Linked DNA regions of Macaca fascicularis. The protein of the gene in region 3 binds, or shares a complex with, the protein of the main gene of each other region. Links are inferred from orthologs where the notes say so. Each region holds a gene or a part of one and is shown on either strand. Other genes may lie near its edges.

Region 1 (2,790 bases), on a different chromosome or scaffold from region 3:
TTACCTCCAGGCACAGGCAGATACAAAATGAGTACAAAAGTATATTTTAACGTGTGAATAGGGTAGATATGAGGAAGTTTGCTTGCTAGGTCAGAGGAGGGACCTGTACTGAGGGAATTTATAAGTAAAAGGAAAAGATCAAAAACAAGTTTGATTTCCTCATCCTGTAAAATGAGGTGTGCAAATGAGGCAATTTGCTATGAGTACAGGATTCCCTTCACAGTTTTTCCTAGAGCCTGCTCTACAATGTCACGATCCCTCTCGATTTTTTGCCTTAAGTATGTCAGGACACATCAAATGTCTAGATGGTAGAAATAAGCATCCCGTTTGCAGGGTTCATGAGGAGGGCAAGTTGTAGATTCTCTGCAGTTCTGGAACCCATTGTGAACCCCAAGCCGTGGAGACTCTAGTCTACTGACTGATCATGCTCAGCCCATAATGTGCCCAAATTGTGAGAACAACTTGCCCTTGAAACAAACAAATACAACAATAAGATAAAATAACTGACAAATCATCTTTATTAAATAAGCAAATAGTCTACATAGATACAGTCACTTGTCTGTTGCACATGACTGCTTCCCCTTCTCTTGGGAAAGATCACTCCACATGACAAGGTGCAAGCTAAGCAGCAGTCCACTTGAATGCCCTGTAATAATGTAAAGATGACCGGCAAGATACAGAGTTCACGCTCAAGTTCCCTTGAGTATGACTTGAGTCACAGCACAGGCAGGAGAAAACAAACCATTTCAATTCACAGAGACTTAGGTGAAGAATTATCAGCTTCATTTAAAGTTCCCATATGGTCCCTTCTACATATCTCTCTCAACAATTAAGCCAGCTGTTACTCTTCAAAGTGTGTGTCACTTTCTTTGCATTTGGGTCAAACTCCAATTGTGAAGATCCAGTGAAGAAATAAAAAAATCCTTCAAATACAGACAAGGGAAATAGTAAGACATTTTTTCCAAATAAAGACATTTGACAATATACAAAACTCAGAATCATAGAGAACTAAAAATAGAAAGTGTTTATAGAGTTTTACTTTATGTCAGGGACTATGCCAAGCTTGTTACATGAATTTATTTTCATTTATTTCTGCAACAACCCTATGAGATTGTATGTCTAACTCCATTTACAGGTTGAACAAGTTGAGGTTTAGACAGATTCCGATGCTTGCTCAAGGTTACTCAGCAAGGAAGGATGGAGCCAGCACTCCATGCCAGCTCACTCTAACAACAAAGCCAGGTTCCAGGTTACAAGGTTATTCTGCTTCTGATCAGATAAATTCTCCACTTGCTTGGAAACTCTAATCACCTATTTCTTTCTTCCCCAAAAATCCTCCTCCCTTTTTCCTGCATTGCAGCCTAGGAAGCACAGCAACTATTTCAAAACACCAGAGAACCCTTTAGCACTCTGCAAACATGGTGATCAGGTTACCTTTCAATAAAGATCATCAGCCTCCACTTACTTACCTTGAGTAAACTCTGGGCAATGGAAAGGTAAGTATTTGCAAATGACCGGCATGGGCAATGACTGACAATTCAGGAAAGACAGAAAAAGATCTCCCTGGGAATTAGTAGCAGCAATAAGATGGGGTGGAGGAGAAGGCCAGCTAACCAATATTAAATCTGGCCACACCATTTGATGGGATTTTTATACTAACATGGTAATCTGAAATTCAAGCTTGACTTCACATGTTAGCTCGAGATGTGAGTAAGTGACACTGGAGCACTTTGATTTTACATGCACGGTTTTATATGCATGTATAAGATAAAGTAGCAAGATTTGTTAATTATCTTTATGGTTCCAAACAAGTTATTTTGTGAAGTAGTTCTATAATGAGTACAAATGTAGGCAAATCAAAATTTTGGGGAGGGAACTGGTCTTAAAAAACACTTGTTATTAAAAAGTTTCAATGCTCCTCTTGTCTCTGATATCATAGATGTTTCAAGTGCTCCATGGCCAACACAGTAAGTATCCTCTTACCAAATTCTTCAAAAACAGCATCAATCTTTGAGTCAATTCCTGGAAAGTCTTCAGCTATTTGCTTGGGAAAGCCTGGCTCCATGGAATTTCTCTTCTCATCAAATCTGTACCGAGTAAAAGAAACAGCTCAGCATTGCATAGAGGCCATGTTACCAAACATCTTAGATCATGGTAGGTTTAATGTGGAATTTTACTAAACTTTGTAAGTACTGCAAATAAACGCTAAGCATATTTGGGACTGTAGAAATATGTGACTTTAATCGTACTGCAAAGAGTTCTTAAAGCCATATCTCCATCCAGAACAGGGGCAGCATCCTGCTGCATGTAGCACCTGCTGTTTGTCATCGTATTTCTTAAGCCTGGACAGAAAGAATCTTAATCATCTTTCTGTCACAAAGACATGAAAGTGTGAACATATATATAAAGTGAATTGAATCAACATCTAAAGTGCAATTTTAGTTCCCTACCACAACTGGCCCATATATACCTGCCCTCCCCACCCTGCACATCTAAGTCTTCTATGGTGGCCTCCCGGGAAAAGAGATTAGGATTAGAAGCAAAGCTCAGTATGTGTGTTTTTAGCCCACTGGCTGGATATCAGATGGTCGGCCTCGATGTCTCAAAGTCTGGGCAAATGACCCAGGAATCAACCTGTCTGCGAGTGCTGGGTTGTATCCATAAACTGGACTGCTATTGCTCATCATCTCTTAAAAGTGCCATCATTATCAGGCAGAGGTAACAAACGGGTGAGGTTAGAGGTAGCCCTTGGATATCACATAGTAGTGTTAGGAAGACAAGACAAACGCA
Region 2 (3,500 bases), on a different chromosome or scaffold from region 3:
AAGTCTAGGGGAAAAATAAAGATGAGAAATTAAAGAATTAAAATTGAACAAAATGAAAATACTGCATATCAAAATTTGCTGAATAAAAAAGAAGAAATGGTTATTTATAGGTATAAATGCTTATATTAGAAAAGAAAAAAGTTACAAGTTAATAAGGTAAGTATCAAACTTAAGCTATAACAATAATAACAGGATCAATTAAAAGTAAACAAAACTTAAGGCAACAATAAGGATATGAACAGAAATTAGTTAAATGGGAAATCAAAATATAATATAGAGGATAAATAAAGCCAAAAGTCAGTCCTTTGAAAAGATCAATAACATTATTACATACATTATGAGATTAATAAAGAGAAAAAGAGAAAGGCAAAAGGGTTCAGTATTGGGAATGAAAAAGAGAACAAAACTTCAGCAATAATTCAAATTACAACAAAATAATTTTCCAAAAACTTTTTACTGATGGATTTGAAAACAGACAAAATTGGCAAACTTTTAGAAAAACATGTTAACAAAACTGACTCAAGAAGTAATAGAAACTCAAATAGCATATTACCAATAAAACAAATTGAAACCGTAGTTTAAAAATCTGATAAAGAAGCCGCCATACCTGAATAGCTCCATTAGTTAATTTATCTCTCCCTGAACTGATACTACATCTTACTGATTAAAGTTTTATAACACAGGGCTTTTCTCCTTATCTAATAAGATGGGTTCACCAGGAGCCTCCTGGCTATTCTCTTTGCTGCCGTATAAATTGTAAAACTAATTTGTCAAGTTCCATGAAAAATCTTTTGGCATTTGAAATGAAAATGTCTTGTATCTATAGATAAATTGACATTTTTACTATATTGCATTTTTTATCCATGAATATGGAATACCACCTATTCACTTAAGAGGTCTCTAAAATAAAGTTTATAATGTTCTTTGTACAAATTTTATTTAAGTGTTAGCACAAGGTCTTGCAGTAATCTAAACTTTAATATAATGGAGAAAACTCATGTCGATAAAATTTTCACACTAGGATTTATTCCAGCAAGTTGAAAATTCTTATATAGTACTCACCTTTAAAAATAAAAACAGTATCCCTGCTATTAACTTCATATGCAGCATCCAAATATGACGGGAGAGAGGGCCAAAATGTAGAAATCAAATGAAATTCAGGTTCAGAGTTCCAGTGGGATCTTCGCCAAAAATATCTGTAATACATAAAATTACTTGCAATTGTCTTTCTCCTTTAGCTATGTGAAAAAAAGTATTCTTTTAAAAAAAATCCATGCTAATTCACGCATTCATAGAAGTCTATATTAAACCATCCTCCTGCATGTGATTCCAGGGTAATAAAATTGATGGCAGGACTTGTGACTGGTTCCAATAAAATTATTTAGCTTGCTTCCACTCTGAAAGTCCATAAACAGTGTGTATATTATGTCCTAATATTTTAAAAAATATTATGTGCGTATTGATGCTTGTATATGAATAGAACATTTCTGTAAAGAGTTAAAGGAAATTGGTAGCAGTGGTTACACATGTGAAGGGAGCTGGGGGACTGTAGACCAAAGACTAGAGAGAGATTGTTTAACTCTGTATCTTTTGGCAGTGTCTAAATATTGTGCCATAAGCATATATCACTTTTTTCCAAAAGTAATTAATTTAAGTAGTAGCAATTTTTAGCAAAGGGAAAGATATCACCCTGTTTCTAAGGATTCACCAGTGCTTTCTGAAGAAGTTCCATGATTTATATTTTAAAAAATGAACAAAACAGATATAACTCCCTGCCTTAATCAAGCTTACAGTCTAGAATCATCCCTTGTAAGTGTAAAAAATGACCTGGACAATTCTAACAGGATGTTAAAAATTCAACAAGAACTAGATCTGAATGATTTTAAAATATAGAGAAAATTTTGTATTTAAAAAAATCTCTGTCAAGCAGAAAAAGTAACTACCGGGTACTAGGTTTAGCACTGGGATGACAAAATTATCTGTACAACAAACCCCCATGACACGAATTTACCTATATAACAAACCTGCACATGTAGCCCTGAACCTAAAATAAAAGTTTTTTAAAAAAAACCTCTATCAAATTTCTGTTTTCCTTTCTAAGCACTGTACATCAAAAGAATAGACAGAAAAATATAATTTTCTGGTCTGACCTGTCTTTAAAGAACAGATATTCTCCCCTCAGAGTGCTGATGGCATCGAAGGACAAAGCAGGGTCGCACTTGGCTGGCGTCCTAGATCCTGAAGGGACGGATTTCGTGGGCACCAGGGGTTCCTCAGTAGAGGCAGGGGGAGGTCCTAAAGGAGACAGATTTGGGGATGCAAACATTTAAAAAATGTGATGCATCTGTCAATTTGTATGCCTTTCAAACATTCTCAAAGTGCTTCAAGCTAAATCAGAAATACTTTAGGTAGCATTGGAAAGCTTTCTTGAGGACTGTCGTTGCAGAGCTACAATGCCTAATTTTTCCAGCATCACTCACCATAGAGAGACTGAATGCCATTCACATCATCTTGTGAAAGGTGGAACCGGGTCAGCTCTGTGAATGAGTTGTAGAGTGGGTACATCAAAGCTTCAGTGTTGGCTGAGTGAAAGAGCCCCAGGGAGTGGCCAAGTTCATGAGCAGCAACGAAGAATAAATTGGTGCCTGTATGACAACCATAAATGTTCAGAATCCACCAGCTATTTATTCCGTAAATACACATACAGAACATATGCCAGCTGTGCAGGCCATCCTTGAAACCACATGGTCTTTTCAGTATTTGTGGATTGGTTCATTGATTGGCATATTCCATACTTTATAGAAATTAATGTGTTTTTCAAGGTTGACTTTAAGTCAATATATAAGACAGTTTTTCACCGTATCGCTCCCTAGATCCCTCCTTGGTCAGGAAAACTAAGACACTTTTCCTATATTGACAAATGAGAAGCATTATTTCCAAAGATTTTTTTTTTGAAAGGACAAGACTAATATCCATGTCAATAAATATAACTCTTCGTTGTCTAAAAGTAAAAAGTCATTGTTCAAATTTAGGAACATGTGCCAGTTGCAACCTCGGTTAAAATTAATCATATAACATTTATGTTGCTCCCCAAACTTTTAGGCCACAAGACTGTAGTTATTTCTTGTGGAGTTTAGTCTGATTTGCTCTTCCTCCTCTTCATCATACTCAAGTAACTGTTTTTTTTTGAGACAGAATCTCACTCTGTTGCCCAGCCTGGAGTACGGGTTCAAGCGATTCTCATGCCTCAGCCTCCTGAGTAGCTGAGATTACAGGCACGTACCACTATGCCCAGCTAATTTTTATATTTTAGAGATAGGGTTTCACCATGTTGGCTAGGCTAGTCTCGAACTCCTGGCCTCAAGTGATTCACTCACCTTGGCCTCCCAAAATGCTGGGATTACAGGCATTAGCCACCGGTGCTCAGCCATAATAAAATAATTTTTGATTGTCAAAAATCTTCCCAGTAATAAGTGCCATTGGATGTGTACAATCTTTAG
Region 3 (4,029 bases):
CAGGGACAGGCGATCACACGGTATTGGACACAGGGCAAGGGAGCAGCCAGAATTTGTAAGGGAGCAGTCTGGGGCTTGGGGAAATAGCAAGAGAGATCAGGGACAGCCCTTAGAGTTTGGGAGCAGCCACAGGGACACAGAATAGCCAGAGGGAGCAAGGAACAAGCCCACGATTTAGGGAAGGGCCGCGGAAGGATCTCCCGTTGGAGGTCAGGGTCCAGGTACTCACTGTGCATTCCTCACAGCCAACAGTGTAGGTCTTGGTGAAGCCCCGGCGCTGAGCTAAGCTCAGACTGTTCCAGGGAGCCACGAAACTGCAGGTGGTGATGTGCAAGAGTCCGTCCTGCAGTTTTCCTAAGGAGAAAGCGGGGGTAACCGACAAGCAGCTTTTGATTGGCTGAGCCGCCAGGCTAGCAAAGGCCCGGCCTTCTGATAGGCTGAAATTGGGATGGTACCCATTTCCAGTGGATCCATTCCCATCAGAGCCTCGCCCCCTCGCTGTTGCTAGGCCGCGCCCCAGGGACTGGTTGGCGTGGCACAGGGCGCGGGGACGGTGCCTCACCAGCAATGAGAAACTCCTCGCTGCGGTTGTGGGACCTGTGGAAGTATCCGCAGACACTCTCCATGGCGGGGGTGTAGACGAACCGGATGTCAGCGGCATCCCCTAAGGCCTGGAACCCTTTATACATCTGTTGATGGATGAGGGGAAGTGTCTCTTTTACTGACATAATCCTCCCACTCCAGGTTCTTCCCTGAAGTCACATAGCATCCCAAGATCACAGCCAACTTTCTTGCACCAACCAGTGGCCAGAAGTTTCTGTTTTGACCAGGAGGAAGATGTTAGAAAATGCTGGGAAAGGGGCGGGAGCAGGGGATACCTTGGTCATCTTGATCTCATAACGCTGGTATAAGGTGGTCTGGTTGACTTCTGGTGTCCCCACGAACTTGGCCCTGATGACTGCAGGAGAGGAGGGAAATATGAGTCAAATGGACTGCATGAGCCAATAAAAATAAGATCATCATCATCATAATACCAGCAACGTGCATACATAAATAGGGGTTATTGGATGCCAGACAGCACACTAAGTGATTTACACATTTGTTTATTGATTCATCTGTATGTTGAGTGTCTCTCTTCGCCAGGCACTGCTTAAGCCATTTTCATCTATTCATTTGTTCATTTACTCCTCAAATATTTGGGAGTGCCCAGACATTCCCACTGGCCCATGCTATATTCAGTGTTGAGCCCAATCTCTCTCCCAGACAGCAAGATCCCATTGCAGTGGTTCCTGTACCCATCACCATTGTCCTGAATATGGTCTTCCTTACTGTGCTATAACAACTATCACCGAATATTTTTCTCTTTAACAGGAAATCAGGAGTACTAAGGGGCAGGGGTTAAAATTTTAAACAAGATGGCCAGGGAAGGCCATCCTGAGAAGGTGACATTTGAGGCAGCCACCCATGTGGATACCTGGGGGGAAAGTGTACCAGGCAGAGGGAGCAGCCAGCACACAGGTCCTGTGGTGGGCTTGGGCACGGAGTACTCAAGAAAGTGTGAGGATGCCAATGTGGCTAAAGCAGAGGAAGAGCAGGGGCGAGTGGAATCATTCTAGAGGTAAGTGCCATCGTGAGCCCCACCGGACTGAGAGGGAAACCAAGGCAGAGTGTGTGGGCTGAGTGGGGTGAGGACTCACCGAGGTCGGAATTGCAGAAGGCCGTCTGTGGGTGGGGTAGGACACAGGTGCAGGCCCTGCTGGGGGCTATCAGCCACAGCAACAACAGGATGCCGGAAGCCAGGGGCTCAAAGGGGGCCATGGTGGGTTCTGTGGGGAAGAGGGATGTCAGGCAGGCCCCAGCCCAGCTGATCTGCTGACCTGGGCAGGTCATCCACCCCATCCTGCCCCGGGGCAGCCTATGGGGGGATTAGGGGACTGGATTTGGGCTTCAGGGGTTGGGAAGCTTGGGGATTTTAAGGGGATTGGGGAGCCCAGAGGAATTTAGGGTTTAGAGAGTTGGGAAAGTTTAAATTATTGAGGGACTGAGTTGCGGGGTTATGGAGCTGTGGCACTTGGGGGAGAAGGGAGCTAAGGAAGTTTGAGGAATGAGGGGATTGGGGAATTCTGGAGGTTGAGGAGTTTGGGGGTGAGGAATTTGGGATTGGGGGCTGGAGGGGTTTGGAGGAGGCAGAGTTTAGGGGTTGTGTGTATTAAGAGATATAGGGGGCTGGGGGAATTTAGGGAGGTTGAGGAATTTGGAGGAGGTTGGGGATTTGGGGAGCTGGGGGAGTTTGGAGGTTGAAGGGGTTGGGGGAATTTGGGGGCTTAAGGCAATGGTGATACTTGAGGAATCTGAGGGCAAAAGAAGTTTGGGAGCTGGGGAGCTGGGAAACTGGGGATTGGGGAGATGGGGGAGTTCAGGGAGCTGCAGGGGTTAGCAGTGGGGATTTAGGAGGCGATGAGGGAAAGTGCTGGATGAAGGGATTTGCGGGGGATTTGGAAAGCATTTGTGATACTAGGGGGTCATGGGTTTGGGAGAGTTGGGGATGGATGTCAGGGGTTCTAGGGAGTTTGGAGCCTCAGGGTTGGGAAAGCGGTTCCAGCCTCCGACCCTCTTCCCCCTAGACTAGCCCAGGATCCTGGTACCCGCAGGCCAAGCTGAGTAGACAGGCATCTAGCACGGGAGTGCACGGGCCTGGTGGCCAGCACCCAAGCTGCGGCCCAGCCCCGGTTCCTGCTGGGCCATCCCGGGCCCTGCTTACCTCTCGTGTCTCTCTGGGCACTGGATCTGCGGCGATGGCGGCAGGGCCTGAGCGCTAGAGGATAAATGTCCACGCTAGGGGCGGGGGTGGCAGCGGGTGCGGAAACCACAGGCCTCCAGGCTTCCTGGATGCATTACTCATCCACCCACCATCAGTGCAGAAGCCAAGGGGCGGGCCGACGAAAGGAGATACACCCTCCTCCTCTCCCACCCCCCTCCTCTCCCTCTCCCTGGGCCTCGCCCGGGCCAGCCCCCTCCCCCACCTCCACGTCAGTCACTATTCCTTCCAAGACGCCTCAGCGGAGAGCTTAGAGGCCGCATTCCCCCCAGCCCAGTCCCCTAAAGTCTCCAGAATCTATCCAATCACCCACATCCCCCAAGCTCCCTATGGCTCAAACCCAAATGAGTTCAGCCCTTCAACATTTATTGTGCATCTACTGTGTGCCAAGCACACAAAAATCCCTTGTTTTGTATGTCTGACATGCTGGTGAGGGGTGGCAGAGAGGAAACAAATTAAATAGCAGCAGTGGAGGGAGATAAGGCAGGTGAATGGGGAGGAACACAAAATGGGGAAACTGAGGCATGGAGTGGTTAAGTGACTTATCCAGGATCATAGAGTCAGTACATGGCAGAACTGAGACTGGAACTCAGGTGGCCAGGAACCAAAGCCAGGGTCTCAAAAAACACAGGCAAATAGCCGGCATTTATATAGCACCGACTGTATACCAGGCACTCAGCATAGTTTATCTCACTCAGAGCTCACAACAAATCTCTGAGATGGGTACCAGTTATTATTCCCATTTTACAGATGAGGAAATATGGGGTATAGAGGAACTGAAGAATTTTCCCAAGATCACAGGACATGGCCAGGATTCGAACTGAGGCTACCTGGCACCAGGATCGTAACTCAGGAGTGGCACCATCCTAGCAAGCAGGGAATGGTGCGGGTGAATGAATGAGCATTGGGAAGGGGGTGGCCATGAATGAAGGTGAAAGAAACAAGTGAGTGGGTCAGTAGAAAACTAGTCCCCACCCCATCCTGCCCTGCCCCTTCCCCACGGACCTATACCCCTGGTGGAGGGTGGGGTGGGGCAATCCTTGCCCACCAGCTTTTTGACAGTGCAGGAATCTTCCCTGGGGTTCTGATTAACACCCTTAATTCGAGGAGGATAGATCAATAATAATAATTGTAGTGATGATGGCAGCCGCTTATTGAGCACTTTCTGTATACTACGTGCTAAAGTATTTGTATAAATTATCTCATTCACT

What was found. The genes of interacting proteins can lie anywhere in the genome.
Region 1: the proteins of TIMP1 (region 3) and MMP3 are in contact, whole or in part, in a crystal structure (PDB 1UEA), measured with the Homo sapiens proteins. The link is inferred for Macaca fascicularis from reciprocal best matches to the Homo sapiens genes TIMP1 and MMP3. Residues at the interface, in NP_003245.1 of Homo sapiens: Cys24, Thr25, Cys26, Val27, Pro28, Pro29, Val52, Thr56, Leu57, Tyr58, Pro87, Ala88, Met89, Glu90, Ser91, Val92, Cys93, Thr121, Cys122, Leu156, Ser157, Pro159, Gln173, Leu174, Gly177, Glu179; in NP_002413.1 of Homo sapiens: Phe100, Thr102, Phe103, Phe171, Tyr172, Gly178, Asn179, Val180, Leu181, Ala182, His183, Ala184, Tyr185, Ala186, Thr207, Thr208, Gly209, Thr210, Val215, His218, Glu219, His222, Phe227, His228, Tyr237, Pro238, Leu239, Tyr240, His241, Ser242.
Region 2: the proteins of TIMP1 (region 3) and MMP10 are in contact, whole or in part, in a crystal structure (PDB 3V96), measured with the Homo sapiens proteins. The link is inferred for Macaca fascicularis from reciprocal best matches to the Homo sapiens genes TIMP1 and MMP10. Residues at the interface, in NP_003245.1 of Homo sapiens: Cys24, Thr25, Cys26, Val27, Pro28, Asn37, Leu57, Tyr58, Pro87, Met89, Glu90, Ser91, Val92, Cys93, Arg98, Thr121, Cys122, Cys155, Leu156, Ser157, Ile158, Gln173, Leu174, Gly177, Ser178, Glu179, Lys180; in NP_002416.1 of Homo sapiens: Phe170, Tyr171, Gly177, His178, Ser179, Leu180, Ala181, His182, Ala183, Tyr184, Pro185, Tyr191, Asp205, Ala206, Ser207, Gly208, Val214, His217, Glu218, His221, Phe226, His227, Thr231, Tyr236, Pro237, Leu238, Tyr239, Asn240, Phe242, Thr243.

Annotation. Positions count from the first base shown.
Region 1 is NC_088388.1:101,854,026-101,856,815, forward strand, and holds the end of MMP3 (stromelysin-1), read right to left. Parts: intron 2,088-2,790; coding exon 1,984-2,087; intron 924-1,983; coding exon 823-923; 3' UTR 501-822; downstream 1-500. UniProt on the Homo sapiens protein: Metalloproteinase with a rather broad substrate specificity that can degrade fibronectin, laminin, gelatins of type I, III, IV, and V; collagens III, IV, X, and IX, and cartilage proteoglycans.
Region 2 is NC_088388.1:101,791,334-101,794,833, forward strand, and holds part of MMP10 (stromelysin-2), read right to left. Parts: intron 2,646-3,500; coding exon 2,481-2,645; intron 2,296-2,480; coding exon 2,151-2,295; intron 1,197-2,150; coding exon 1,063-1,196; intron 1-1,062. UniProt on the Homo sapiens protein: Can degrade fibronectin, gelatins of type I, III, IV, and V; weakly collagens III, IV, and V. Activates procollagenase.
Region 3 is NC_088395.1:47,679,030-47,683,058, reverse strand, and holds the start of TIMP1 (metalloproteinase inhibitor 1), read right to left. Parts: upstream 2,801-4,029; 5' UTR 2,762-2,800; intron 1,827-2,761; 5' UTR 1,819-1,826; coding exon 1,698-1,818; intron 959-1,697; coding exon 879-958; intron 690-878; coding exon 563-689; intron 355-562; coding exon 230-354; intron 1-229. UniProt on the Homo sapiens protein: Metalloproteinase inhibitor that functions by forming one to one complexes with target metalloproteinases, such as collagenases, and irreversibly inactivates them by binding to their catalytic zinc cofactor.